Linked DNA regions of Xenopus tropicalis. The protein of the gene in region 1 purifies or fractionates together with the protein of each later gene. This does not show direct contact. Links are inferred from orthologs where the notes say so. Each region holds a gene or a part of one and is shown on either strand. Other genes may lie near its edges.

Region 1 (7,654 bases):
CTGTATTATATACTAGACAACAACAAAAATAATTTTAAACCATCACACCAAACACTCACATGTGTCTCTCTTGCTATTATTTTCTATCTTTACTTTATCTATATGCATTTTTTCATGAGTCAATTACATTTGTGAATATTCTGCCTCCTCATGTATAAATCCAGTATCAGTTTAAGGTCACTTACCAGCGGGTCAAACAGTCCTGGATTGCATTAGTAAGAGCATGTCCAAGATGAAGTGATCCAGTCACATTTGGTGGAGGAATACACATCATGAACAAACCCTTTGGGTTGGGCTCTGAAATGCTGCTTCTCTGGGACATAAAAAATTGCAGAATGAGATGAGACCTATTTATTTTCATACAGCAATAAATCATTTTAAGCACATTTGTAAAAACATATTTTGTCCCAGACTCGAAAAACATATGATCCAAATTTGATGCCCAAAGGAACAATTAAAAGGAGTGGCTATATGCTTTGGACAAGTAGCTGATACAGGCTTCCTAAATTCAAGTAACCAACAGAAGCTGCTTGATGCAGCCATAAAAGTAGTTTGCATGAAAGCATTGATCAGCTCTTGTATATTATGTCCTAACTGTCAAGTGTTTAATCCATAAAACAAGATATACAGCATGTAACTTGATCAATACAAATAACAGATGAGAAAGGTTGTTTTTGTGTTTAGAATACTGAAAAGAACTTCAATGTGATTGATTTAATAGACACACACATTTGCCTCGCTTATTAACTAAAAAATGCCACATGCAGGCTTTATTAACATCTCCGACTCACCCCAAATTCGGGCTTGAAAAACTTCTCTTTTTCCCACCATGAGTACCAAGCAGATTCTACATACTGGGGACTGTAGGAGTCAGGCATAGGACCAGAAACATCTACCAGATAAAAATGAATACAAGAATTAGAGAAACATACAGGATTAATGGAGCGGTAATATAGACTGGATATTTGGAAACAGATTATATGGGCTTTGCAACTACAAAGTGCCAGAATGGACACAAAATTAAGCATGCATTGTTTTTCACAAAGGTACTTTGCTCCTAGCAACATGCAAAACACCAATGCACCTCTTTAGACTTGCACACAATTGTACATATGAATGACAGGGAACCCTAGAGCTACTGCCACCCTGGACCTCTCAGTTTTTCCACTGTTTCCCTTGAAAGTTGCATCTATGGAAACAAGTGACTTGAGCCAACCAAATCAGATGACAATGATATTAATGATGGCATGCCAGAAGTAACCTGGAACCACATACCACAACTTTACAAAAAGTGTGAAGTAATTTGCATCCGTTTTGTTTTATTTTATACGAATTGCAGAGAATGCTACATAGTGGTTGCCCTTAATAACACCAGAATCCTGGGTTGAGGATAAAAACCATGATAATTTGCTTCCAAATGTTGCATTATTGACTTACTTTAGAAATAAGCCTTACATCTTTTAATTTCCACAAATTCATAATTTACGTTGCACAAACTGTTACCTTTTTTATCACCTGCAGGAGTAGGAATATCATATGTAATCACCCCAAGTTCTTTCTTGTCTTTCTTTTCAGGTTTGGGCTTTTTCTGTATTTGAAAGTTCAGAAAGAGAAGGTGTAAATATTTGTTTGGACTGTGTGTGTAGCGTGGTAGGGGCTTATCATGTTGCCTTTAAACAGGCCATGCCCACCTCCCCCTGCAGTTCTTTTATTTTCTCTTGCTTTTGTTGGAACCGCTCCAGTTTTTCTTTCTTCTTAGACTCCTTCTTTAATTGGGCTGCAGTTTTAGGGGGGGCATTGGAAGGGGTACCAGAAGGACCATCTGAAGTTTTTGAAGCAGCAACATCTAGGATGAAAGCAAGTCACATGTAGAAGGGGGGTCATCAATAACTTCAATCCTCAAAGCTGTCAGATTCCACTTTCCCTAACATGCTGCCAGCTTTACATATTCCACTTTCTCACTTAGTTAACTCTGTTACTTTCTTTCGGTATTGTTTGTGGTATGAATGCACTTACTGCAATGCTTAATAACCCTATCTTGGGGCACCCCTTATAGCATTAATTTATTCCAGAAGGAACAAAAGGAGTTGCAATAGCAGAAGCACTAGCACTGTGCAACACACCTTGTACAGGAAAGGTCTGCACAGCAATGTGTCTTTATCATGCTAAATGTGAACTTTTATTCTTTTCTAGTGCTTCATCATACATTTCTTTTAAATACATTTTTGATCCCTAAGTTTGAATAAAATCTAGAATCCCTTGCAAAATTTTCCAGCTAAACTTTCCAGCATTTGCAGTTTTAGGTGTAATGCCTTTGAACCAGCCTCAATATTGAAAGGTGAAGTACTTTATTGTAATTATGCTAAAGGAAAAATAAAAACTTACAATAAAATATGAAAAGCCTTGTCACTGAGCCATATATGTTACCTGTTTTTAGAAAGTTAACCTCCCCTAGAATATCTTTAAACTGCTGTTGATTAATGCAAGTTTGGAACCACCGAGTAACATTAAGAAGTTTCTCTCTTCTTGTGGGAGAAAGAACCTACAAAATAAACAAAACAATTGGAAAGGGAAGTGGTGACATGACCAATAAGAAATATAATGTAAAAAAGGAGAATCATAACATTTAGGTGTCTTTACTATTTATGTTGTATATGTGAGATGATTTTTGGTGTTAGGATACAATTTCCAGCATCCTCTCACAGATTTAAATGACTGGTGCTATAATTCAACAGAAGAAACACCAATACCTTAGCTGGTCAGCAGATAAAATACTTACTTTTGTATAGGGACTGATCAAACAACACGCTACAGCAATGTCTGCAAGACTGATGCTCTCTCCCACAAGATATGTGCGAAGTCTAAGATAAAAATCAAGACTATCCAGAATCTTCTGCAGCTCCAGAAGAGAACGATCTTTAGTCTAAGGAAAAGGAAAACTTTCACCATATGTACCATAGGAAATTCATTTAGGGTTAAAAATAACAGAATTATGCAGGCACTTTAAATCTGTACCTGTGAACGTTCTGCTCCATACACAGCAGGCAACAACTCTGACTCTGCATAGCTCACCCACTGTTTAACAAGAGCACCGGAGCAGGGGTCACATCCTCCAGAAAGTGCTTCAGGAGCAAGCATATATGAAACAGCCCAAGAACCCCATACTGGTTCATTGGAGGGTGAGAGCAAACAAGGAAGTGGTAGTCCGTGAGGGCCAGAAGACACCTCCTGTACTTTTGGCTTACATAGGGTAGAATACTGTCCAGCAATGCGCACCCACAGAGATCGCGGGTCTGATGAGGTGGAGTTCGGAAGATAGAGGGTAGACATGGTGAGAGAAAGAGACCTGTAGGGCAAACACAACCGTGTGTTATTGTGAGGTAGGCTCTAATAACTCAAATACAGGCATTTTCAATGCATAGAAAATTATTATTGTCCAAATATTTGCTTCTTTATTTATATTAAACTTATTCTCAGTGGTTTATTATCAAAATGAGGAGCAAGATGAAAAAAATGGCACAAAGCTGTTGCGCCTCCTGGGCAAAAATAAATGACTCCTTTAGTCTTATAATGGCATTAGCTTACTCAGGAAAATTAAATCTAAACAAGTTGCATTTACAAACTTGCTGTCATCTGCACTATAGCAACACTATTTTGTGTTGCTATGGCTAATTAAACTGCTGCTATGTTTTTTTTTTGTTTGTTTTTTTATTATACCCTATTTATACAACACCAGTGTGTTATGCAGCACTTTACAGAAACTACTGATCATTCACATTGGTTCCTACCTCAATGGAGCATACAATCTAAGATCCCTAGCATGCACATACACATACTATAATCATGCCGATCTCATTTCATTAGGAGACAGTTAAGACCACCAGCATGTTTTTGGCCTGTAGACTCTATACAGATAGTGCCTTTCTCTTAAAATCAAAGACCCCAGTTCAGTAAGTGGGTCAGTATTGGTAAATAAGTTCCATTGTCTTTTACCAGCAGCCAATGACAGCACATCTGGTCTGACCCTACTTGACCCTGCTATACTACATTACTTTCATTTGTTCATTTTTCATTATTGTTCACTAACTTGCTATGCTCCCACACCACCTCTCATTAACTCAATTCTAGACCTCCCTAAGTGTTAACCTTTTTTTACATTTGCCCTTTTTCTGCTCTGTGCCTTCCGCATTCACCATGCCCCACTCCATCATTCACTCTCATCAGTATTATCCCCTTTCCATTCTCTTACACACTTTTCTTCCTCTCGTACTCCTCCGATCCGTGCAATGACGTCAAATGTATTACCCACGTGTATTTTTGCTCACCTTCTTACTTCCTACTTCCGCCCTTCTTTGCAGCTGCTGGAAGGACAGCAAATTTGCCCATAGTAGGCTGTTCTTAGTGTGCAGTAGCCGAACGCTCTTTATTTTTATTTCTCTTACGTACCTTCTGTTAACTCAGTAATTACAATTGCATATAGTTCTGGTTGCAATATTATTAGGGTCCTTCCACAATACACGCGAAGATTTCTTTTTAGACTTTGTAGCCCTAATAAGACAGGCAAACAAACCGGCCGATAGGTACAATAGAAGACGTACTGCCGGAATCATGGCGTCAGGAACTTTAGTGCTGACACCTAGTGGGCGAATACGGAAATATCAACCTGATGCAATTTATAGTAATCCAGCTTCTGATATTGAAAGTAATTATACTAGATTACTATAAATTTCATCAGGTTGATATTTCCGTTGGTGTTAAAGCGAGTTACATTGATTCATTGTATAGCAACAACTGTCGAATTAACACTGGTTCATTGACAAAGATGAAGGGCTATTTAAATTACACATTCATGTAACAGCTGGGTTCTGTAATTTTTGTCACATGTAGGTAGGGTTGCCACTTTTTGTGGGGAAAAAACGGCCTGCCTATATTTTTATCTTTCTTCCCTATTAATAATATTGGTATCAAGTATCATTTTTACCATCCAGGCTGGTAAAATTCTGGCCAGGTGGCAACACTACATGTAGATGGCCTAGACTACTTAGTTGGTAACAGCCGCTTGTCTTGGTATAACAGTGTGTGTCTGCTAACGGTGCAAACACGTAAAGACTACATACGTCACTTTAAGTTCTTATCTGGATTGTGGCATGGCTGAAGTACAATTTGCTCTGTTTTTTCTATATTAAATCTGGTAGACCAGTGCTGAGCATTTACCAGAGCTGGGCCAAGAAGTATTAGCACCAAAGCCAATACTAGTTTTCCTGTGCCCACCCTGCCCGACAATTACTCCTTCCTGTGCCAGCCTGTAAGCAAGACAAAACACCACTGCCAACAAGAGCTGACACCTGCTTCAGTTAAGGTTTAGCAAATGCAGAGAAACCAATCAGCTCAGGACAGGAGGAGCTTGGGGCTGGCGACACTCCCTTACACTAGCCAAAAGTAACATAATTTGTATTAAAGGCCAATGACAGAGTTGACAAAGTGAAAAAATATTTGATCACCCACCCCTAACAACTTGTCACCAGGTCTGCTTGAAGGCAGTAGTGGGGCCAGGGCAGAAATCTTATTGGTAGGCCACTGCAACTATACATTTCTCCTTTTCCTGTGGCCAAACTTAGACAAGGTGGCAAAGTGGTAGAATGATTACATCAGTAAGTTGTGTTAATAATTTGGGTAGGAGCAGTGATGTTCAGGTTGGAGCAGGGGCACTTACTGCTGCCCTGAGGCAGCCTAGCCAATGCCACTCTCCAACCCTATGCTTAGTTTTTTTCTTTGAGAGGGCAGCTCTTTGCCACCCCTGGCAACTTGAGGGGTGATGCCTCCTGAAGTAAATTTCTCAACTCACCTCATGGCAGTAGCGCCCCTGGTGTGTAGAAATGGCTGTAGAGTGGGGCTATGACATCAGGGGCCAAGATTGGGACAATTTTTGCCTGGGTTTCAGAAGCCTCTTCTGTATGCCCCTAATTCCAGCCCTTACATTAGTGACCAAATGGGAACAAATAACATAAAAAGTAATATAATAGCCATGGCAATTAATCAGTCTTTTATTTAAACATAGCAAGGAATGGGCAGACACATTTTCTGTTAGAGAGGGCACAAACTTTTTTTCTAGTTCTAAATAAAAAACAAAAATCAGAGACATAAAGGAGGATGATCAGGGACGCAAGTTATACAGACAATGTACCATCTGCTGGTGTCTTGAAGAAGTGCCCATGGTATCAGGGGTACATAGCAGCAATCCTAGATGTGGATTGAACATTAAGTGGTTTGTGCACAGTAAGGTACACTGATTGAATATAAAGAACTGGGTGAGACACTCTGGTATTGTGCATGAGTAGGAGTAAATTATTATAGTACAGCAGTTTATGACTGCCCATTTTATGTATGCCCCAGCAGGATTAAGGCAATAAGAGACTTTTTGATTGAGGTTTTGACTGAAAGGTACTGTACTAAAACTTATTATACCCACTGGAGTGTAAAGGTGGCACAAACAACGGGTCTGCCGGACTGCCATCTAGCCTGAAATCAGACAGATCTCGATTGTGCAGGTTTGTTTTTTCCATTGGATTGGGGACCGCATTGGCTCGATGATGCAGTCCCAGAACCAACAGCGCCTATACCTGCCATTCTAATTTGATCATTTGGCCCCAGGGCCAAATTTTTAAATTAGCCCAATATCGACCTCACATTCTGAGTTTAAAGGAGAAGGAAAAGCTAAGTCACTTGCCAAATGTTAGGCACCCCCAAGTGACTTGAATCGCTTATCTTCTACCCCAGACTGGTGCCCCTGTATAGAGAGAACAGCACCAGCCCGGGGTAGCAGCGATCGCTTCCTCCTTCCTTCTTCGCTGTGCGCACATGCGCAGTAGAGTGAAAAACAGAACTTTAACAGAGAAGTCGGCTTTTTCACTCTACTGCACATGCGCCGGACTCGGAGTCGCAGAGAAACTAAGGTGGAAGGAGGAAGCGCATCGCCCCAGGTGCCCCGGGCTGGTGCGGTTTTCTCCTAACAGGGGCACCAGCCCGGGGTACGAGGTAAGCGATTCAAGTCACTTGGGGGTGCTTAACATTTAAGCACCCCCAAGTGACTTAGCCTTTCCTTCCCCTTTAACAGGAATGTGTCACCATTCCTCAATATATCCAGATACAACTAAGTGTTCCAATCACTAGTTCCCCCTGCCTCTCCTTCCCACATGTTGATCTGTGACAAAGTACAAGTTCCTGAATTACTTTGTACTTAAAGGCAGGAAAATGTTCTGATGAGTGGCTGGGGCGCTATTTACTTTTGTCCTCCAGCCTATTAGATAGCCCAAAACAATAATTCATTGTGTCGGAGATCTACATAGATAGTAAGTAGCAGGCGTGGAGAAGGCAGGAGAGCCAGAACATTCCTGTTAAAACCTAGAACTTTTAGGGCTCTGGCACACGGGGAGATTAGTTGTCCGCTACAAATCTCCTGGTTTCCTCTCAAGGCAACTTCCGCGATTTCACTGAAATCACACCGCCGCTTATGCCATCCCACCGGCGATTTACATTTTTGCCGGTGAGATGGCATTTCGGGTAGATTAATCGTCCGCGAACAGGGAGATTTGTTGCGGTCGACTAATCTCTCCGTGTGCCAGAGCCCTTAAGAACTATTAAGTTATCTCTACTG
Region 2 (7,812 bases), on another chromosome or scaffold:
AGTACAAGAATGATTTAGCGCAAAACAGACCAAACCTGCCTTGCAGGACCAGTAACACCAAAAAAATTATTTCTTAAAGTAATTCAAAAACACTGTTCTGCACAGGTAAAAGTTGTGTGTTTGTTTATATAAACTATACCAGTGTTTCAGAAACAAAGCTGCTGTGTAGGCACAGGGTAATAGGGTAATGGGATAGAAAAGAGAATTTTATAGGATGTTCAGGCTCACCATCAAACTGTGCCATCTTGTCACAAAGCTTGACTTCTCCCAACACAGCACGGAATTCTGGCTGATTCACACAGGTCACAAACCACCTTGTAACATTACCAAATGGCTGGCGGAAGGATGGTTCCAGGACCTATGGATAAATAGAAATTAATATATGGACACTAAAAAGAAGTGCTACAAAGGCTGACAGAAATGAGTGTGAAAATATGGGGATGTAGATACATGAAATGGGGTAAATGGCGAGGATTATTATACAGAAAGTTAGAATAGAAAAAAAATTAAAAAAAAAAAAACTTCAGTGTTTATGTATTCTGAGTGTGGGAAATCCAATAAATGATGAAGAACTGGTATACCAGAACAGGTATAATGGATCTTTATTATAAACAGTAATATAGTGAAGTATATGGCTAAAGGAGGCTACAAATTCACAACAGGAATACAGTTAGGAGGAATAAAAGACAAAGGAGAAACAGATAAAAATTAAAGTGTCAGACCTGCTTATAGAGCCACAGAAGAGAGCAAGTAACTGCTATATCAGCCAGCGTGACCCTCTCGCCCACTAGGAATGTCCGTGTCTTCAGATGAGAATCTAAAACACCCAGCACAGCCTTTATCTCCTCCTTGGCTTGTTCTGTGGCCTAGAAATATACAGAAAGAGCCATAATCCCAAATGGCCAGTTTTAAAAGGACAGAAATTGAGGTAAAATGGTCTATTATTTTCTTCAATCTTCAATTATTTTTGCTTCTGAGGCTTACTACCTTCTAACAAAAAAAACCCTATCCAAGAGGGTTGTTGAGATAACAAACAGTCGTGTACTAAAAAGTAGCCAGGAAGACTAGAATCCGCCATTATGCCAACCAGGGGGAATTAGTTAGGGTTGTGACACAGAGAGATTAGTCGCTGCACAGAAAACCTCCCCAAAATGCCATCCCACCGGCTAGAATGTAAATCGCCGGTGGGATGGCATAAGCATCAAGCGTGATTCGCAGAAGTCGCCTTGAGAGGAAACTCTGGCAACTTCCGCAAATCACACCGCCGCATATGCCATCCCACCGACGATTTACATTCTAGCCGGTGGGATGGCATTTTGGGGAGTTTTGTCACCCGTGACTTATCTACCCGTGTGTCACAGCCCTTAAGCAAGCTGCTATTTTCCAGCTAACTGCACAGATCACTTCACACCATTCAATAAACCGAAAGATACATATAACCATAACATTCACTAAATAAGGGTGGGGCAGAGATATACACACACTTTTTAAGGTAATCTTTCAATTTAAAACAGTTAAATCTTGTTAAACCCATATCGATCTTGGATCAGGCAGTTCATCCATCTCTGACAACTGCCTCGTGTTTACTTCATCTAAAGCTATGGCTGCGGCAAAAAGTAGGGTGACCCAATCACTTGAAAATTCAAGGACACATCTAGTACATGTCGCAGGAATTGTATTTCAAATCAGTTCAGCCCTGCTAGCTGGATTTATTTTTTCTCTTCATTACACGTCCCTGAATTTTCAAGCAATCTGGTCACCCTAAAGGGTCCTACTGACCCCAAACATTATGGGTGCTTGAAGTATTTGTAAAGCAAAGTATTTCATAATTCATCTCGACGCAGCACAAAGTAGAAAAGGAAAGGCCATTGTTAGATGAATAAATAATTTAGCAGATAAGCACGCAGCAGTGTGTAGTTAACCAAAGAAAATAAAGCAGAATAATGAACCCTTCTTACCTGCTTATTGTATTGCATGATCCCCAGAGTGGGAAAGACCCATGCGCTGGCCGGAGGGACAATGTGACTGTCTGAGAAGCTGACCCACTGGATGACCTGAGCTTGGTGTAAACGATTGGTTCCTCGGAGCTCATCATTGCCCACTGTCAGAGAAATATGTGAGAGGTGAGAATTAGGTTTCCTATTAACACCAAGTCAGAGAAAGTATGAGACATATGTGACAAGTCTAAAGGTGGCCACACACGTGGCGATTTTTGATCTTTTGTGCGATCGTTCCAATCCGCCACTAACATTCAGGGGTGAAATGGCAGATGTGGAGGAAGAAACAATAGGATTTCAACGAGGTTTCATACGATATTATCGGTGCATGTATGGCCAGCTTTAGGGTGAGAACACACAGAGCTACTAGTAGCAGCTACTTGCCGTGACTACTAAAAAAGAGAATGCTGATCATTTACAGATAATTGCCTCTACATGTGTTTTAGCAGAGGCAATTCTCAGTATTGTCTATGGCAGGGTATTTTCTGGAGTTTAGTAGTCATAAAAAAAAAGTAGCTGCTACTAGTAGCCCAGTGTGTCTTCACCCTAAGAGTGGACTTTCATTATACCCAGTCTGCAGGAGCCCGAGACACACAGAAAGAGGGACAAAAAGAAATGGATAACCTTGATGTAGAATGATAAAGATTCACAGCTCATCTCAGAGCTCACATGCTCTCCAATTTAAATCTGAGACTCCAAGTCAGCATTTGTCTTGTAGTGCAATTCTATGCATTCCGCCACAAGGAATGCCTATAAAAATATGAAGAGATTAAGGTATAATTTGCCAGGTTGCTATTTTATGATTTCAGCTTTGCAGCTGCTGTTTGAATGGCCAGCTATCCATAAGTTTTTTTTTTTTTTAATAACCTTTCACAGGAATACTGCTTATGTTTATAATTCCACCTTAGTGTAGGGAGTGCAAGCAGCAGAACTATAAGTGGCCATCTCCAAAGATAGAACACTTCCCAAGGTTCTCAACCTATAATGGGACATGCCAGCAGGGTTGATCGATATTGGCGAGTACAGAAAATCTGTATTTGTCCGAAATATGTGGAAACATCTTTACTGAAATGTTTTTATGTAAAATCACTATTTCTGGGCAGTTTCCCACCAGGAGGCCAGCAGGCAGGATATGTGACTGAACCTGGGCCTGGGCTGGGGATTCCATGGATTGATCTAAATAAATAGATTTTTAAGAAGAGAAAATGGCCAGAACGAGAGCAGAAATGGTAGGTGCACAATTTTTGGGTTATTTTAGGACCATCCAAACAGTGACATAACTAAGCAGCACCTGGGCCCAGTTGCAATTTTAAATGCATGCACTCCCTCCTCCTCTGTACCCCTTTCCCCATTCATTTATTTGCAGAGAGCAGAAGAGCAAACATTGGAAATAAGGAGGGAGAACCATACAGCAGACCAAGCCTGGACTGGCAATCTGTATATTCTGTAAAATGCGAAAGGGGCTGCTGTAAGATGCCACTGGGCTGGGGGTTTGGCCTCTGTGTACTTGAAATGTTGAGGCCTATTTTGAATCCCAGTCTGGCCCAGCAGCAGACCTTGAGACCATTATACCTCCCCTGTGGCTGTGGGGTCTGCTGTATACTAGTTACAGCAACAACCTCCAAATTAGCTTCTTAGGGTAAGAACCCACATAGCGAGTTACTCACCCACAACAGACCGCTGCTATCATGGGCGAGTAAACGCTCTGAAAAGGCTTTTCTCCTGCAGGCAACTTCACGCAACTTTGGAAACCGAAGGCCTTTTCACCCATGACTTCTACTGTTGCCGATGGAAAGCCTTTTCGGAGCAGTTACTATCACAGGTGGGTTCTTTCCCTAAGGGCCAGAGAGTAATTGCTAGGTCTGATTCTATAAAGGCTAACCTGCTGAAGATAAAATGATAACAAGAGATAAAATGATTGTCTCACCATAATGAGCAATGGCGCTGCTCTCAAAAAGGCAAAAACCGTCGTTGCCCTCAAATGCTGGTACCTAAAAGTCCAGAAAGAGTTTGATTAAGGACAATAATATTACCTTAAAAAGTTCATTACATCCAGGGCTACAGTATGAATATATACATACTGTACACACATTGCAGATTATCTGGAGGGGTTGAAGTTGAGGGACTATGGAAGCAAATGCATTACCTTGCCTAAGGGGAATTTCTTTAGGAACTCGGATGTCTTATTCGTTACTCCAAACTGGAATTCTGGAGGAGAGGAGGCAACCTTGATGGGGAACCCCGAATACTGAGCAGCAATGAGGGGCTTGTATGCCCTCCAGTTATCAGGGTATGTGTACAGAGTCTGCAGAGAGAATACACACAGTTATACATTATACACACTGAGGCAAGCAAATATTGTACAAAATGATTATCCCCAATCATATGGGACTTTGCACCACCAGGCACCATATACAATTCCATGTACCATATTTAGGGTTGCTGAAGGAAACATTTTCCTTTATATATCTAACACATTCTAATGTACACCCAAGGCCCTGGAAAGCAGCACATATCTTACTACATGCCATATCACTATTCTTATGTGAAGTCTCCTACTGGGTAAAGCTAAGCCTTGGCAGACAACAGAATGTAAGCCTAAAATCTTTAACTCAAGCAGCTACTTCTTGTCTTTATACTCTTATGGCAGCAGCAAATAAAACCAGGGTTGCCACCTCACCACTTTACGCCACACTACTAACATGTATTAGCTACAACACTGCATGGCAGCTCAAAAGCCTTCCCATGCGTTGGAAGTTCTCTATAGAGAATACTGTGCATCTGTCACATGTCACTGTATAGAGCCGCTGTCACACAGCAGCCGGTATTACAGCCGTACAAATGGCGCACAGAGCGGGAGAGAAACGCGTGTGGAAGGAGCAGGCAGGGACACGTGACTAGGGGCAGTTACCGGGGCAGCGCCGTATTGCCCTCTCTTTGTACCGCTCCCCTTAGTTCCGGGTAAAGCCGGGCACTATTCCCACTAACTTTACCCCATACTACCAGCACCAAACCGGGAGATGAAAGGTGACCCGGATAGCAGAGCGCACCCCATATCCCAGTGACCCACACTACGGCCCGGATATATCATAAGCTGTCGGATGTGGATGGATTTTCTGGGACCTATTCATTACTTACCCCGCCGGCCATCTTCACGCGAGTAGAAAGGGAGGAGCCGCAGTTCCAGCTCTCCGACGTAATATAGGTGCCGAAAACAGACTACGGGCTGTCGTAAAATAGAGGAGTGTAAGCGACGGGAGCGTAACGTGACGCTTTCGGGACGTACAGGCAGGTGATATGTGGCAGTATGGGAGATACAAAGGGTTTCTGTCAGAAAACCCTACCCCAAAAAAAGGATTCTATGGAGTTAAGCTGTGATAGTGAGTTTAATAAGCTGAGAGTGAGAGGGATTCACTTCCCTGGCAGAACCTTCCAGAACAGCATAGAGGGATTTCCTTGCAATGTAGGAGCCAGCTGCTAAGGGATAATACATTTAGTCAGGACCATAGATAGAACTAACATATGTGGCTGCCTGAAATATGTATTATAGGTGTTATTGAAAAGTCTGTTAAAATGACCTGTCAAAGGTCATTTGGGGTAGAAAAGTAAGGTTTATTAGACACTTAATTGGGTTCTGAGCAAAACATAGAACAAAACCAGTGTTGCCAGATTTATTTTTCCAAACCAGCCCAAAACTAGCCAAAAGCCACTTCGAAAGTAGCCCAAAAATAGCCCAATATACAAAATGAAAACAAATTCTAAAAAATAAAAGTATATATGGGAAAATGCTTTTTTTGTAGTGTATAATTACTACCCATGCCCTGTGCCCTCTCTCCAGTTACTGGGATGGCTGATGTTTCCCAGCCCCCTGTGCCCAGTCCATGCAGGTTATAGTAGTTTTGCTGGTTCAGGTTCAGCAAAGAGGAATAGAAAAGGGAGCTTCTGTCTATAATTGCATGCTGGGTATTGTAGTTTTATATTAATCTTAGCTGTAGGCTAATTGTAAGAATTGTACTTTCTTTTAAAGTAACTTAAGTTTTTGCAAAAGTTACATAAATTGCATAAGTGTAGTGGCCCAATGATGTTGCTGTGGGGCCCAATAACCAGTCATTCCTCTGCTGTAAAGTTCATGCAGGAGTGCACAAATCCATCTGTTAATAGTTTTCAATATAAACAGCCGACATTACTCTTTAATAAATAGTTAAAATGAGTAATTAATGTGCTAATGTAATATGAGTAGTAATGTAATAATGAGTCAATTCACTGGGGACAGTAACATTTACCTTGACTTTTTTGATCTATTGGGGGGGTCATATTGGGATATGCAAGTTAGGTTAGGGTATTTCCATACAGCTGATTCTTGAATCTAAAAATCTTTCAGTTGTGCCTGCACCCGGAAGCACTGAATCCGCCTGGGTGCAGGCACACGCATGATATTTCTGCCTGAAACTGCTTGGAGCAGAGGGGCCGATTCTTGGAAAGCAGAAAAACAGTTTCTGAGAATCAGACCATCCACTTAAAAATCAGCCCCGTGTGGCATTACCCTGTTTCTAGCCAGTTTTTGTGGAAGACATGTAAATTATGTAAGTTCTAAAGCAACTTTTGTGATGAGGCCAGCCCCCCCTTCTGGAGATTTTACTGGGCCCGGTACAACAGTACCCCCTCTCCCTCCTTATAGAATTAACCCTATTTTCTTAATAGGAGAGGAAGAAATTAGACTGCAAGCACACCAGGGTCAAGGAATCATAAATGATTTAGTGCCATTTACACTGTATAAAATACAAAATACCACATTACTGTACACAATACTAACCTCTAAAATATTTATTTTAAAATAGCAATGCCATTAGCAGTAAATGGTGCAGTCGGGGGCCCTCTGATTTGATGGAGCCTGAGACACTAGTACTGTTTGTTATCCCTGATGGCAGCCCTGCTTATACCGCATAATGTACCCCTAATTGATATGGTCATTGAATGCCTTAGTGACCGCTTACATCTTATAACATCTAATGCTGAGCATACAGAGGCAAATCAGCATATATGATAAAGTGACCAAATCAAGCTTGTCTTAATGGTCCCTAGGCCAATAGGTTGTTCTCATGGGGGGGTATGCAGACTTCCAGTAAGGAAGCATTATGCAGTAAATTAGTTGGAAATCAGCAAGCTGCAGAGTCACTGTAGGGATCAGTTGTGCTCTGTAGTGATGAGTAATCACTTTTAAGGGCTCAGCCCAGAATGCAGAAGAGAGGCAACATGCAGCATTTCATCTGCAATCGGAGTGCCAGTGCAGTCTAGCTGGGTCTGTTACTTCCTTCCTTCCGTGTACAGTGAAACACAAGAATAAAGCCATCCCTCTGAAGCAAAGAACAAATGCCATTTGAAATAAAAACCCTGCAGCCAGCAGGTAATGGGGCAGATAATGGCGATGAAGCTCTCAAAGACTGCCACCCTTCCCTTTGATGGCAAATTGGCTCAGCTATGGCACCATACAGAAAATATATGGCACCCAGTGTGCAATGAAAACTTAACCTTTCTTCCCAGATATTAAAAGCATGATACTGGATCAAATGCTGCTCTTAGTCAAGGTGAAATGGGAGCAATTAACTGGGTGTGGCGGTTATGTGTATGTATCATGGTAGGTATTATAATTGCAGTAATTATCGTCTGGGAAAGAGACATTATGGGTGGCAAGCATTATAGCTTTTTCAGGTTTGGCACATGGTCTTATGGAGCCCCCTTAACACATTTATGCAATTTCATTTCTCACCAAAAAATATTCATCATTCAAAAACATAGAATTAAAAAATAATAAAGT
Region 3 (7,672 bases), on another chromosome or scaffold:
TCATGTCTGACATTCTGGCTGCTGCCATAAAAGCACCTGGTATGAGTATTATGTGCCATAAGACCCCCTAACGGTATGGAGACCCTAGAAAACCATATATTTTCTGATAGTACACATTCTGATAAAACCAAAATGGTTAAATACTTCTTTCTACTACAAACTACCAAACAGCAAAACTATGCTAAATGCAGCAGTTTTCATAAAATTCCTGAAAATCACAAAGCTTGCATTTTACCCTATTATATGCCCCACAAGTTGTAACCTACCAACATCAAACATTCTAAATATGAACACCATATGAACTACTTACAGTTTGATGCCAATATGCATATATGTTCTTATGTTTGGCATGCAGAGGCACCCAAAATAGATAAATAACAGACAAAATTTCCAAGGGCACAAACAAGTACCAAAGAACAATGGAGAATGCAAAAAAATAATTAAAATCAGTAGTTTGAATATTTTAGCTTAGCCAAATAAATTTTACAGACAGAAACAAACCAACATCTTTGCAGAATTGAAAATTGAATAAAATGGCTAAAAATGTGCCAAAAATGTAATATAATCACTGAGACAACATAGGGATGTAAATGTTACAGGGCAACCCTTTTGAAATAAACAATAACAAAAGTGGTATAAAAGGTGATACCTTTATTGGCTAAGACAGTGCTGTCCAACTGGTGGCTCCCAACCCCCTCCTGTCTGGCTGTAACCTGGGTTAGAAGGCTACAAGATCCAGCAGTGTCTGCCTGTCCTATTCTCTGCCCTGGTGGCTCTGGCACCTGAAACAGTGTAACACAAGCAGATTTTACAGACCTGCCTTGTTTGAGGGGTCTGGCAACATTGTTTAAGTAGTAACAACCAGGAGTTCAGCAAATGCTGCTTTCTATAGCAATTTGATTTACAGATTAACTATTAAAAGCACTAATTTAATAAATGCATATTGGAAAGTTGCTTAGAACAAGGTTTTTTTTTTTGGTAAAAATGTTTGGGGTTGACATGCCCTTAAATAAAAACTAAGTTTCCACATGCATACCACAAGTCAAAAACTTGTTACAATTAGCCAAGAGTGCTTTTGTGGACTTCAGAGCAACAATGGACACCAAGTTATGACCCATTAGAGATCATCTTCTACATCCAGACAACCATCCACAGTGGATTGAAACACATTGATGCCTATTTGGCATACTTTAATCCTACAGAGGCAAGATAGATTGAATGCGTGCAACTTTGTTGCAAGGAAAGCAGCCACAATACAAAGTGAACACCAACTTCACATTAAGCAAATGTTTTTATTTGAAGTGCTGTAAAAGTATGGGGGCTTCATGAAATCAGTTTAGATCTTGTTGAAAGCAGCAACATCCATGGATTGCACAAAGTCTTCAAATGCAGTGATGTTCTCCTCTAAAACATCTGTGCCAACTTTGTCATCTTCAACCACACACTGGATCTGCAGCTTTTTAATGCCATATCCAACAGGAACAAGCTTTGCTGCAGAAGGAATAGAACAATTGAGATAACAGATGACGGTTGATAAAGCCATTAAATGTGCATTTTAAATCAAGTCTACTTGCTACATATTGTCAGAATGTAAAGACTTGTACATTCAGTAAACACATACCTTTACAGTGTTTAAATAAAAGGCAGTCAGAATAAAAATACATCCATCATTAGCATCAGTCGAAAGATGGTGATATTTTAATCATCATTACAGTTAAGGTGAAGATATTCTTTAGACTACCTACAAAATATAAACTTACATGCTCCCCACACCAAGCCTTCCATCTGTATACTTCTGACACACTCTTCTAGCTTGGCCATATCCGTTTCATCATCCCATGGCTTCACATCAAGAAGAATGGATGATTTGGCAATAAGTGCTGGTTCTAAAGAAACAAATTGGTTAAGATTTAATCACCTTTGGAGAATTTGAAGATTGTGAAGAAGTGTAAATTAGATTATGTCCGCAAGTAAAGGACTAGTAATATATAAACTGAATACACATTCTAACAGCCTTAAGCCACACATTCAGACTACCCCAAAATCCCACAAAATAAAAGCACAAGTAAAATTCTAGTGGGAAAGTCAAGTGTTACACCTTTCTAAGTCACAAACCATAGCCACTGCCTTGCTGAACATACTATAACAATACTATATGGCATTTTTTACACTAAGGTTTACACCATATAGTTTGTAGACAGTGGTACAGAATAAAACAGAACCATGTTTGAAATACAGCCAAGTCCTCCCAGACTGAGAGGAAATAAAGCTGCAAAACATTTTAATGTGCCACAGGAGGAATGCTGGAACTGCCACATAGTAATACAGCTCCAGACCAGTATCTGTGGCAAGTATTTCCATTCCACAAAAAAAAAAAAAAAAAAAGGAACTGAAGACCAGTATGTAAACAGGTAGTGATTGCACTTTGCTTTTCTTAAGGCAAAACAATTAAAAACATATGCCTTAAGGAGAATAAACACTCGGGAGAAGGCCACTTACTTTTAGACTTCTTTGCTTCATACTGTGCTAAGCGTTCTTCGCGGACCCTCTTTGATTCTTCATTTTCCTATGAAATAGAAAAACTTAAGATTCTGCACAATAGCAAGTTTTTTTTTTGTTTTTTTAAGTTAACAGGCTGGTGTAGTCAGTTTAGAAGACAATATGCATCACAAATCAGCCGAAAGATGGTGATTTAGCTCATTCATCACATGACCAGCCTGAATATAGTACAGCCAAATTTGTGTTTTACACAACTCCCTTCACATGTTTAGAACCTTAGTAACCAACAGCAAACACTGCTTCAGGTATGTGGCCATAGTAGTGTGCCTTGGGCATGTAATATAATGAATTTGTGGTTACAGTGGAGCACAATTAAAGCATGCACGCATTTTTGCTACGTTCATTGTCCACAAGGAGACTACATGAAACACAGCAAACTCTCTTTACATTTCAGTCTGTAGAACAGCATGTTAAAAAAAAAAAAAAAAAAATTATGGACACAGCTGTACAGCCAGTGTAATTTATTCTGCACCTTATGCTTCTTAGGTCTAATTTTATTACATCTAAAGATTGTTACACATCCCACCTCTTCATCATCTGAACCAAACAAGTCAATGTCATCATCATCATCCTCTTCCTTGGTATCTTTTGCTGTACTGCCTGTAGTATCTTCTATGTTAACAGGGCCATAGTTTCCCAGAGGCTTCTTCACACCAGGCAGGCTAGGAAAAAAAAAAAAAAAAAAAAAAAAAAAAAACTACTTTACAAAGGAGAAATATACTTCTAGGCTATTTGCATTAGCAGCTGCTTAGAGGTGAGTCACAAGGAATATACAGTTATCTAGAATTACATACAACTTTAGAGAACAAATTACAATAGAGAACAAATTACAATACTGACATCTTAACTGCAAATGACTGCAAGCTGGCCCAAATATGGGTAGCCACGCTACTATTTGACGAGGCTCCTCTGCATGTCTGACTGGGCATTCTGTGTGCTCAGCTAGCATCAATTAAGCCAAGAGAATGCAATTCTGTCCTACTGTCAAAGAGAACACTTCAGGTTAACATTTAGTATGTTATAGAACAGCCTATTCTTAGCAACTTTTCAGTTGGTTTTCATTTTTATGGTGTATAGTTTTTTTGCCTTTTTTCTTCAGACTCTTTCCAGATTTCAAATGAGGGGGGGTGGTCACTGACCTCAGAATCCAAAAATCTGTTGCTCTGTGAAGCTGTTTTTTTTTGTACTTATCTTTCTATTTAGGGCCTCCTATATTGAATTTTCCATCTTTCAAACTACTGGCTAGTTGCCTAGGTTAAATTGGACCCTAGCAACCAGATATGTGAAACTGGACAGCGGTTTAACAAAAAAACAATCATTCAAACACCAAAATAAAAAAAAAAAAAAAGTTGTCTCAAAATTGTACAGTATACTAAAATTTAACATAAGGGTGAACAACTCCTTTAAAATACTTCATAGACCACAAAAATGATACACATTCATGATCCATGTTAATTAGAATTGTGCCCATTTACATTCTACAGCAGGCCAACAGTACTATCAAAGCTTATGTATGTTGCAGCCACTTTCTGGCTGCATGAGCACTACAGCCATAGGCAGTGATTTTTCAGCTGGATGTTAACCAATAAACCGAATTAAAAAAAAAAAAAATCTGATTCAGATTAGATAAGTATAGTAGTGAACGTGCTTCAAAGTGCTGTAGAACAGCTCAACCTAAAACAAAGAATATTGTATTCAGCACAGTATCATATTTTTTCAACCATGCTCCTTTATCAATCACTGCTGTGAAAGCAATAGCTATACTTTATCATACTGCTTACCTACTTTTCTGCTTTTCATAAGACTTGATGTGGTTGTACCAACGCAGAGCATGGAAAAGGTCAGCAGGGGGCGCACCAGAGAGGGCATCAAATACTGCAACATCAGCCTGGGAAGGGACATATCTGAAAAGGGTGGGGGTAAATATACAATTAGCAGCATAACCACTAAACATAATATAGTACAGTAGAAAAAACTGTATAAATAGTGTCCAAACATTTGTTTCCTATAAACATTATCCAAGTTTTAAGGCTATTTGCACATTTAGTTACACTGAACAGTTTATATAATTTTCCGTTCTCTGACATAGTGCAGTTTAAGCAGCTGGCTTCTGCTACATCGGCTCAGCAGTCGTAGCCAGCAGTGCCGAAAGTGTAGAAATCCAGACCTATTCTGCTTTTAATACAAATTACATTTACAAATGATTCCAAGAAACACTTAATTATTAACATTAGAAAGAATACATAACTAAAGCACAAGGCACAATTAACCAGGCAGCCTTTACATATTACATCACTTGGGATTTTGTGACACGTTTACGGCACTGCAGCTAAAAGAATTCAGGAGTCAGGCAGCAGGAGGTTGCGGCCTAGGACCACGCGTTGGAAGCCAACACGTTCATTCATATTACACATTCCTTGTCCTTTCGAACATTAGCACAACTATAATATAGCATTTACCACACTGACCCCTCGATGTAGCTCTTGTCGGCCAGGAACTCATTCAGGACCTTAAGGCCTGCAGGGGATTTGAGATCGCCGAAACCCATTACAGCAATTCACTCAAGAAGCCTAGCACACACGGGTAAAGAAAAGAACTTGCAGGCCGGGTAGATGCCTTTTATAGACAGGGGGCGGGGCTACGAGGGGCGGGCTAAGCCTTCCTTAAAGACTCACTATGTAACATGTACATCATTTCAAGTTTATATTTTTTTTTATCCGCACCCTTTCGGCAAAGTATTACTTACTGGAGACCATATCTTCGTTTTCCGACTGCAGAAATATTTGGGATTGCATGTGTTGCCGCTTATCACGGAGATAGCCGATGTTAAGTCGATCCGGAAACTGCCTGTGCCGAAGACTAACGATGTTGCGTTCGCAACATTTCGGAAACGAAGTTTCTCCGAGTCTCGTTCGTCATTTTTGCCGGACTTTGTCGATCTCTAGTCTTTGCCTGTGCGGAAGTTACCGAAGCTTTCTCAGTTACGTATAATTCTTACCATCTTCCGTGGCTTGTTCCGGAGGTTGCTTAAATCCGCCATATTGGTCAAGGGTGCCGGCCAGGGCTGTTCTGGTCTAGAAGGCCAAATATTCCCAGAGCTGTTTAGGGGAGTCGGTGGGGTGAGTGGTTTGGAAATGGCAATTCTTTGTAATGTTTTGCATAACCGATGCGGTAACCCTGCGTTACGGTGTAATGGTGTTGGCTGTGTGTCTAGCAAGGTAGTAGGTCACTCTTGTGCCCTTGACAGATGTAGTTTAGTTCGGTAGGACTTGGACTCTTCTATTATTCGCTAAAGATTTCCAGACTCCATCCCTTCCTATACTAGCAAACCCGCGGGCTACAGCGTTCCATAGTCTGTGCATGGGTGCGCGTCTTTACTCAGAGCTCTGCTGGGATTCAGTAATGCGCTTCTCTCCTTGCACATCCTCTAACCTCTTAGTTATTGCACATTGCGCGAAAATTACACATGCAATTGGTTGCGCTGGTTAAGTCGTTACTCAGCAAATAGGGAATATTGTAATATTGATTAAAATTAGTTTTTATGACCTGGCTTGTGGCTCAATGGCTATGGCAGATTTTTTTTTTTTTTTTTTTGTGGGGTGGGATAAAGTATAATACAGGTATGGGACCTGTTATCCAGAATGCTTGGAACCTGGGGTTTTCCCGATAAGGGATCTGTCTGGAATTTGGAACACCATACCTTGAAGGGCACCCTGTCACCCTGAAAAATGTTTCCCCAAGGACAGTTGCAAGCTAATAGAGCCAGCATTCTGTTTGGGAAAAACAATTTTTTGGTGTGTGTCAGCCGCACTAGCCCACACACACTGGGAGAGAGCTTTTGGTGAAGGCTGTCATGTTCTATAGCAGGCATCCCCAACCTTTTATACCCATGAGTCACATTCAAATGGAAAAAGTGTTGGGGAGCAACACAAGTATGGAAAAAGTTCCTGGGGGTGCAAACAAGAGCTATAATTGGCTGTTTGGTTGCACCCTATATGGATTGGCAGCCTATAGAAGGCTCTGTTTGGCTTTACACTGGGTTTTATGCAACCAAAACCTACCTCCAAGCCAGAAATGCAAAAATAAGCTCTTACTTTGAGGACCCTGGGAGCAACATGTTTCTTATGAACCACTGGTTGGGATCACTGTTCTATAGCGTGCATAAAAAGCCAGTCTCCTCACATGCTCATTATCATCTGACATTAATTGCGAATTGCAATTTATGTCACATACCTGTGCATAATGAGCGAGATGTTGCTCTCGCTCATCCTTTTGCATGTGCCCCAACATAGCCACCCACACCAAAAGCTTCCTACTGGTGCAGGCAGCCTAGTGCTGGTGGGGGCTATTTATTATTATTTTTTTTTAAACTATTGTTTCCCCCAACTGGAGTGCAGGCTCCATTAGCCTGCACCACTGGTGGGGGAAACAATTTCAGGGTGACAGGTGTATCTGTAAATATAGCTCTCATACAACAAAATCCTGTATTGAAACCCAGTTTTCAAAAGAGCAAACATATATTTTTTTTTCATATTTAATTTAAATATGATGTGGGCTAGACATCTTCTTAGTTTCCCAGGTGCCCACAACCATGTGACTTGTTCTCTGATAGACTTCAGTCACTCTTTATAGTGGCAGTGCAAGTTGGAGTGGTCACCCCATACCTATCCCTTACAGCAGCATAAAAGCAAAATAATGGGAAGGTAACAAGATAACAGCTCCCTGACACCTGGTAGATATGAGCGTAGCACTTAATAGTTTAAAACTGAAGTCCTGAGTAGGAGAAAAAAATCGCTAATCTAAAAGCAGTTGCATTCTGAAGTGCTGGCACTTTCTAAAAGCACAGGATCTAGCACAATGCTCTGAAATGACTGCCTACACGTCAATATTGAAACTTAAAAAAATACACCAAATATTATTTATTGTTTAAGAATAACATTTTAAATCGTAGATTCCTTTTCAATGTACCAATTTACGCAGTGTCATTTAGAAATAAAAAGTACACCATAAAAATCTAGTTTTGGAGAGGCTGTCAACCCACACATTACTAGCAGTAACCTGTAGCAGTCAATAAGATGTTTGACCTGTACATGCCTCCGTATTGCTTAAAGGA

What was found. Proteins that work in one complex are often made in the same cells at the same time.
Region 2: the proteins of vars1 (region 1) and eef1g purify together in Homo sapiens (affinity purification with mass spectrometry; 6 studies listed by BioGRID and IntAct, counting the BioPlex papers as one, with this or other methods). This does not show direct contact. The link is inferred for Xenopus tropicalis from reciprocal best matches to the Homo sapiens genes VARS1 and EEF1G.
Region 3: the proteins of vars1 (region 1) and eef1b2 fractionate together in Homo sapiens (co-fractionation; 3 studies listed by BioGRID, with this or other methods). This does not show direct contact. The link is inferred for Xenopus tropicalis from reciprocal best matches to the Homo sapiens genes VARS1 and EEF1B2.

The regions. Positions count from the first base shown.
Region 1 is NC_030684.2:75,093,405-75,101,058, forward strand, and holds the start of vars1 (valine--tRNA ligase), read right to left. Parts: upstream 4,566-7,654; 5' UTR 4,447-4,565; intron 4,345-4,446; exon of another isoform or gene 4,250-4,344; intron 3,347-4,249; 5' UTR 3,331-3,346; coding exon 3,016-3,330; intron 2,924-3,015; coding exon 2,780-2,923; intron 2,543-2,779; coding exon 2,428-2,542; intron 1,847-2,427; coding exon 1,692-1,846; intron 1,589-1,691; coding exon 1,504-1,588; intron 893-1,503; coding exon 792-892; intron 314-791; coding exon 186-313; intron 1-185. UniProt on the Homo sapiens protein: Catalyzes the attachment of valine to tRNA(Val).
Region 2 is NC_030680.2:36,803,943-36,811,754, forward strand, and holds the start of eef1g (elongation factor 1-gamma), read right to left. Parts: upstream 5,154-7,812; 5' UTR 5,148-5,153; coding exon of another isoform or gene 5,136-5,147; intron 4,303-5,135; coding exon of another isoform or gene 4,144-4,302; intron 3,989-4,143; coding exon of another isoform or gene 3,925-3,988; intron 2,748-3,924; 5' UTR 2,622-2,747; intron 2,102-2,621; coding exon of another isoform or gene 1,977-2,101; coding exon 1,959-1,976; intron 867-1,958; coding exon 723-866; intron 359-722; coding exon 229-358; intron 1-228. UniProt on the Homo sapiens protein: Probably plays a role in anchoring the complex to other cellular components.
Region 3 is NC_030685.2:50,702,929-50,710,600, reverse strand, and holds eef1b2 (elongation factor 1-beta), read right to left. Parts: upstream 5,154-7,672; 5' UTR 5,108-5,153; coding exon 5,028-5,107; intron 4,464-5,027; coding exon 4,341-4,463; intron 3,222-4,340; coding exon 3,086-3,221; intron 2,567-3,085; coding exon 2,500-2,566; intron 1,887-2,499; coding exon 1,761-1,886; intron 1,492-1,760; coding exon 1,337-1,491; 3' UTR 1,273-1,336; downstream 1-1,272. UniProt on the Homo sapiens protein: Catalytic subunit of the guanine nucleotide exchange factor (GEF) (eEF1B subcomplex) of the eukaryotic elongation factor 1 complex (eEF1).